Arabidopsis thaliana: one gene and its partner. The protein of the gene in region 1 interacts with the protein of each later gene in a pairwise test. Each region holds a gene or a part of one and is shown in the gene's direction. Other genes may lie near its edges.

What was found. Proteins that work in one complex are often made in the same cells at the same time.
Region 2: the proteins of TPR3 (region 1) and BZIP9 interact in a two-hybrid assay, tested with the Arabidopsis thaliana proteins (one study listed by BioGRID).

What each region holds. Positions count from the first base shown.
Region 1 is NC_003076.8:9,513,449-9,517,048, reverse strand, and holds the start of TPR3 (TOPLESS-related 3), read left to right. Parts: upstream 1-1,641; 5' UTR 1,642-1,785; coding exon 1,786-1,865; intron 1,866-1,951; coding exon 1,952-2,131; intron 2,132-2,212; coding exon 2,213-2,326; intron 2,327-2,547; coding exon 2,548-2,706; intron 2,707-2,808; coding exon 2,809-2,983; intron 2,984-3,070; coding exon 3,071-3,200; intron 3,201-3,297; coding exon 3,298-3,410; intron 3,411-3,496; coding exon 3,497-3,600. UniProt on the Arabidopsis thaliana protein: Transcriptional corepressor. Negative regulator of jasmonate responses.
Region 2 is NC_003076.8:8,513,088-8,516,923, forward strand, and holds BZIP9 (basic leucine zipper 9), read left to right. Parts: upstream 1-2,112; 5' UTR 2,113-2,171; coding exon 2,172-2,285; intron 2,286-2,390; coding exon 2,391-2,481; intron 2,482-2,578; coding exon 2,579-2,750; intron 2,751-2,842; coding exon 2,843-2,918; intron 2,919-2,996; coding exon 2,997-3,122; intron 3,123-3,199; coding exon 3,200-3,454; 3' UTR 3,455-3,582; downstream 3,583-3,836. Other genes in the region: AT5G24810 (ABC1 family protein), read right to left, coding at 3,815-3,836. UniProt on the Arabidopsis thaliana protein: Transcription factor.

The sequences.
Region 1 (3,600 bases):
TAGTTTATCCTTAAATTATCAAGAAAAAAACAAATTTAAAAATATTTTCTACATTTATGTTAATAAGTAAATTTTACTTAAGTTAGGAAACATAGTATCAAATTTCTTATTTTACTTAAGTTAGGTTTTGAAGAATTAACCTCGATTTGTATCTATCGTGTTTTTAAAAAATGAAAATTGACATTTATCCTTAAATTTATAAGATATATTTGTAAATTGTATTGTTCTCATTAGTATACCCTAATCACTTTTCTATCTCTCTATAAATACCTGTAAATCTCATTCTAAAATAAAGTCAATACATTTAGCCTCTATATGGTACCAAAGCTTACAATTCTAAATGGTATAAAGAATATATATGATATATTGTGAAAATGTTGGTGCCACTTACCTCGGTACCAATCCGGTTTTCTATTCTCGAATGAACCATATATATAGCACTTAATTCAAGCTGGAATGCTTCAGATTACTCATGTCTCCATTGGTGATCAGTTAGCAAATACATTCACTAAATCTTTAGCGAAATCAATATTTCAAAAAAAAAGTTCCAAAATTAGAGCTACACGAGTACTTCCATACTAAAAGGACGTATAAAGAATATACATGTAAACCATATTGTTATATCCTAATCATTTTTTTCTATCTCTTAAATACTTGTAAATCTTAATTCTAATAAAGTTAATGTATTCGGCCTCTATAAAATTTTATTTTATATATACTTAATAAGTTATTTTCATACTCCATATGTTTCTTTTATTTGATTTTCTAGAAAAAAAATGTTTCAAAAAGATTAATTTTATAGGTTTTCAATACAATACTTATTAGTTATAATTGATAAATTGTAAACTTCAATAAAAATTATTGAATATTATTGGTTTAAAGTTATTAAAAATTTTAAATTATAAAAAATAGTACATTTAAAAAACAAGATTTAATATGTCTTTTTTTAATATTTATGTTTTTCCTAAAAAATCAAATAAAAAGAAATATTAAAAATATTATTTTCCTTTTTTTATTATTTTTCTTTTCAAATATCTATTTTCTAAATCCATATTATGTTTTTCTTTTATAAATAATCTCATTTCGCCATGGAGAACACGAGTAATTCTCCTGGTGTATGCCTAAAAAAAAAAGCAAAGATTATAATATGAGTATATATAATTATATATGACGTAACCTGCGAGATGTTGAATTGTCCACATTGTAATTGTCACGAACACTTAATTAAATCTTGCGAAAAAGAGATCTCAAAAATATCGCGAGAAAAAGAAAAAAAGGATAATATGAGAAAAGCCAAACGAAGAGTGCATCGAAAGCTGAGAGCGACATAATAAAGGAGAGAGAAAAATGTGGGGACCAGACTGGACGTGTGCACAGAATATTCACACTATTTGAATTTTGTTTTCGAATCCGCCACTCTATCTCCAAATCAACTTATCACTCAATTTGATAATAACTTAACCTACCTCTCTTATAAGGAAGCCTACTTATCACCGACGAAGACTCCGCTTATATCTGATAAGTCGGTAGAACGATGTCTCTGTGCAAAGAAGAACGCGTCCAAGAAAGCGAGGTCTAAAGTTTCTCAATCCCCCAATCTTCTCCTCCTTCTTTATATATTCTCTCTCTCTCTCTCCATTTTTCTCTAAAAGCTAGAGCTCTTCAAAACCCTAGAAATCCTCGAAATCAGAGTCTTTACCTGGGCTCGTGTCTTCAGAGCTCGGATTCGTGTTTCTTTCGTCGTCTCTCTTCTTCGTTTCTCGTCAGATTTGAGATTCGTTGAGAATGTCGTCGTTGAGTCGAGAGTTGGTGTTTCTGATACTTCAATTTCTGGAGGAAGAGAAATTTAAGGAATCTGTGCACAGGTTAGTCTATTTATATGGTTTGTTTTGTGTTGTGTTGTGAGAGGCTGAATTTTGGGATTGACTGATTTGTAATTTGTTAAATATAGGCTTGAGAAAGAGTCAGGATTCTTCTTCAATACCAAGTATTTTGATGAGAAAGTTCTAGCTGGAGAATGGGATGATGTTGAGACGTATTTGTCAGGTTTTACTAAGGTTGATGATAACAGATACTCTATGAAGATTTTCTTTGAAATTAGGAAGCAGAAGTATCTCGAGGCTCTTGATCGGTATGATTATAAGCTGTCTTATTTGTTTTTTTACTCTTGAAGATTTGTGGTTTTAGAGTTTGATGTTCTCTGTTGTTACAGGCAAGAGAAGGCAAAAGCAGTTGAGATACTAGTGCAAGATTTGAGAGTTTTCTCCACTTTCAATGAGGAGCTTTACAAAGAAATCACTCAACTCTTAACTTTGCAAAACTTTAGGTATGATATATTGAATTTTGATCTCTCCTTGTTGATGTTTCTGTTGTTATGGAAAGTAGGAATATGAGACTTGGTTTAGGTTCAGTCCAAGTCGAGTTCGTGATGCTTTGTAGACTGTTTTTGTTTGGATGTGAAAGAGGGTGTGATACTCGAGTTTCTCTCTCGATTGTTTGCGTTTTGTGGATTGAAATTTGACATCAATGATTTTCATGAATCTGCAGGGAAAATGAGCAGCTTTCAAAATATGGAGACACTAAAACTGCTCGGGGCATAATGCTAGGCGAACTTAAAAAACTAATTGAAGCGAATCCACTTTTTCGTGATAAATTGATGTTCCCTACTTTGAGATCTTCGAGACTGCGGACTCTGATTAATCAAAGGTGTGTTTCTTTTTTCTTTCCTCATGACCATTCTGTATGTTGCAGATGAGGTTTGGATGACTTCGTTGTTGGATGATTCATTGTGCATATGTTCTCTTGCAGCCTCAATTGGCAGCACCAGTTGTGCAAGAATCCTAGGCCAAACCCAGATATTAAAACTCTATTCACAGACCACACTTGCACACTTCCGAATGGTCCTCTCGCACCTTCAGCAGTCAATCAGCCTGTTACTACTTTGACGAAGCCAGCAGCTTATCCGTCACTTGGACCTCATGTTGTAAGAAACCTCGATGTTTGACTGCTTTAATCATGTTTTTTGAATCTAAATTAATCTTAATGTTTGTGGAATCTGTATTACATGTAGCCCTTTCCACCTGGTCCTGCTGCTGCTAATGCTGGTGCTTTAGCTAGTTGGATGGCTGCTGCCTCTGGTGCTTCTGCTGTCCAAGCTGCCGTTGTTACACCTGCCTTGATGCCTCAACCTCAGAATCAAAGTTAGTTTTTGACGATCCTCTAGATTTCTAATCCTCGACTTATCAATAACTATCATTTCAGTTTCCATCAAAAACTTATTATTTTTCTTCCAAAAAGTGTCAATCTTGAAGCGACCAAGAACACCACCAGCAACTCCAGGTATAGTAGATTATCAGAATCCTGATCATGAACTAATGAAGCGTCTCCGCCCTGCTCCATCTGTGGAGGAGGTAACGCGAATTCTTTTCTTTTTCTGGAAAGCTGTTTATATAATTCTTGCATCTTCTCAAAATTCTAAGCATTTATCATTTTCCAGGTGACATATCCTGCTCCTAGGCAGCAAGCTCCATGGTCGCTGGAAGATTTGCCAACAAAGGCAGCTCTGGCGCTGCATCAAGGGTCCACTGTGACAAGCATGGA
Region 2 (3,836 bases), 1.0 Mb from region 1:
TTTTGGTTAAAGGATGATGCTTATTGATAGTACATGACGATGATATCATAACCTCCGGATTGTTAATAAATGCACTTGGAGATTTTCTCTTGTTATGACTTATGGCCTTGCTTTTATGAACTTTTATTATTTGTGATCTTTAACCTCTAGCTTCAATCTCGTTCACGTCATACATGATCTTTTACTGGAATAATATTTTAAATCTGTAACCAGAAAGATTCTAAATATAATTACTACACTAAATATTATAGTATCAAAAATAATTTTTAAAAAAAAAAAACAAATAAAGATTCAATTGGTCCCTCAAAACTGAAACTAAAGATTCTAGTGTTTTTTATTTGGTCACATAAACTTTGATAAAATTCATTTGGTCACGAGAATTCTTGTTTTTGTCATGAATTTTAAATGAGAATTTTTGTTTGTTCTATAATACTTTTATCTACCCATGACCAAAAAATATACTAACACAGTTATATGATTTGAAAAGTAATTTCTGAAAACTAAATCACCCCAACTACTCTAGTGATCACTAGACATAGAACAACGTCTTTTTTTTGTTTCTCTTTTCCTTTGTTTATAATTCCTTTCATCTTCTTTTCTTTTTCTTTGCAAAACCTCGTTTGGAGATTACAAGTAGAGTTTGTAGAAACAGAAAAATTACTTCTTCTTTTTTTGCTAAAAGAAAACAAAAATTACTTTTGTGTTCATAAACTAATTTTCATTCATATTTTCTGTATTTTAACTTACAAATTTAGCATGTGCCTCAAGTAGAAATTCGTTTCTTACAAAAAACGTATATCAATCATCATCTAAATTACATGAAAATTTTCAACATCACTAAGGATTGAATTTTAATTGTACTAGTTACTATGGTTACTGAATTGTACTGTAGTCGGTAGATTGTAAACATTGTAGTCCACTATAGGTTCGAAAGTTCTAGTTAGTGAGAAATAATAATTTTAAAATGCTTTTGGATTCTATTTTCGGATCTAAACAACTTTTGTTTGTTTAAAGACACATTACCTAGTTTGTTTCTTTTTATTGTTTTGTTGTGAAATATTTTAACTTTTTAAAGGAAGTGCAGATCAAAAGAAAGAAAAGTTGGTTTACGCATACAAAAGTTGATGAAATAAAAAGTATTTCTGGTGCTGGAGGAAAGAAATGTCTTTTAGATCTGCTTTCCAAAAGCATATGGCGAAAAGTAAGAGTAAACAAAGGACGAAGCATTTTGTGTTGTTCGTGTGACCGGAAAATTCTTAAGTTTTTCTTTTTGGTGTTGTAGTAGTAATGAATGATAATAAATATTTTAAAGATTTTTACTACATGATACAAAGGTGTAAAAAACTGAAACAATATTATCAATATTTTTCCTTCAAATATTATCAATTATTTATGAAGATTAGTTTTTAGTGTTTTATGAAATTATATATTCGGTAAAACATTTACCGTAAAAGGTTAATTTATTCATTTTCAATGTTTTTGTAGTTTCATCATTGGACTATGCCCCTTGTATATTAATCTTAAATTAGTCGTTAAGTACTTCAAATTCGAATTCAAACAGGTTATGTAGTAGAGTAATTTATGTAAGTGTAAGGTTCTTGACATGTGCCAAGAATACAAATGTACATGAGTGACAATATTATTATCTAAATATTTTCAAATATTTAAAAGCTTATTTCGAAATATTTTAGGATCCTTTTATGAATATAAGCTGCTTATATATATGCCTATAACATTCATTTTCAAATCAAAAGCTCCAACATATTAATGAGCTGACAAACAACTTAATGTTTGAATTCAGATATGATTTATATTGAAAGAGTCTCCAGCTATCTTAGATAGTCTCCCTAGTTAAGGGATTAAAGGTTATCATTAGCATATAATTGGTACCATAATATTCACCAATACTACAGAGCCTAATATACATCTCTGTGGCTTTGCTTTTCTATTCTCTTTTGTTATTGTTGTCATTAAAGAAAAAAAAAGTTGGAAATGAGGACGTTGCATTGACAATGCAAATTCAATTTTGCTTAGCCATTAAGAAGCTTTTTCACAACTTTAGTAAAGAAGAGAGACTTATATAAAGAAGATGTCTATCACCACTTACTCTTCCCCTCTCCTCTCTTTTCCAACCAATTCTCTTCTTTCTTGTGTGTTCACATTCAAAGAAAATGGATAATCACACAGCTAAAGACATTGGTATGAAGAGAAGTGCTTCTGAGCTGGCTCTACAAGAGTATCTCACTACAAGCCCTCTAGACCCTTGTTTCGACCTCATGAACCGGGTTAGTCCTTTTGTTGTCTCTCTTATTCGTATCATTGTTGCTTGTGTCTATATCAAGATCCAGAGATATTGTAGTAATTAAGAGTCTAGTTTCTTTTGGTTGTAGGATTACACTTGTGAGTTAAGAGATAGTCTTTTGTGGTCTGAGGGATTGTTTCCGGCTGGACCTTTTCGCGATGCACAGTCCTCAATCTGCGGTATGTGCATGTCTCTTTGATTTGACTCCATGTAAGTAATAAGTGTTGTTGCAGTTGATATTAATGTTCACTACTTGTGTGGCTCTTATCTACAAAGAGAATCTGTCAGCTGATAGTCCAGTGTCAGCCAATAAACCTGAGGTAAGAGGAGGAGTTAGGAGAACCACAAGTGGATCTTCTCATGTTAACTCTGATGACGAAGATGCCGAGACAGAAGCAGGGCAATCTGAAATGACTAATGATCCCAATGATCTGAAACGTATTAGAAGGTATGTTAGGTACCAATAAAAAAGTTAGATGTAAAACACTGAGATAGAGAATCACCAATTCTTCTTAATCTTTTTCTGTGATGTGAATTCAGGATGAACTCAAACAGGGAATCAGCAAAGAGGTCGAGGAGAAGGAAGCAAGAGTACTTGGTAGATCTTGAGACTCAGGTAAGGTTAACAAATAGCTTGTTGGATGATTTGTATCAGAGAGTAATGTTTTAATGGTGACCTTGTGTTTTCTTCAAGGTTGATTCTTTGAAAGGCGATAACTCAACACTGTACAAGCAGCTCATAGACGCAACACAACAGTTTCGTAGCGCTGGAACAAATAACAGAGTTCTCAAATCAGATGTTGAAACTCTGAGAGTCAAGGTATCATCTATCACTTGCTCTTTTCAATTTGGGAAAGTAATAACCGGAATGTGCTAAGTTAAGTAAATTCTATATAGGTGAAACTAGCAGAAGATTTGGTAGCGAGAGGGTCACTCACTAGCAGCTTGAATCAACTTCTACAAACTCATCTAAGTCCACCATCACACTCCATCAGCAGTCTGCACTACACGGGAAATACCTCGCCCGCCATTACAGTCCACAGTGACCAATCTTTGTTCCCTGGAATGACACTTTCTGGACAGAACTCAAGCCCTGGACTTGGTAATGTATCCAGTGAAGCTGTTAGCTGCGTCTCAGACATCTGGCCATGACTCTCTTTCTTCAGAACATGTAATGATCACTCAGCGAATTTCCTGTATGTGTTTCGCTATAGAACTAGAAACATATAATGAAAGCAGCATGTTCGTTAAATAAACTCAAGTTTCGTCAACATATACTTAATTGCTCCAAATCCTGCAGATTGTAATCTGGAAACTGAAGCATGTATAGGCCAATAAATTACATTCTCCAAGGAAATTGCTTAAATGTGTTCGCTTAAGTAAGTATACAGACAAACAAACAAAAACACTGATCCATTACACTTTACTTTCCAGCAATTTCTATTAGCTATTTAAGGCGACAGCTATGCATGTTGTAACATGAGCAGACAAAACTTACGTCGAAAACCAACCTCAGTTGATTAGAGGCGTACCC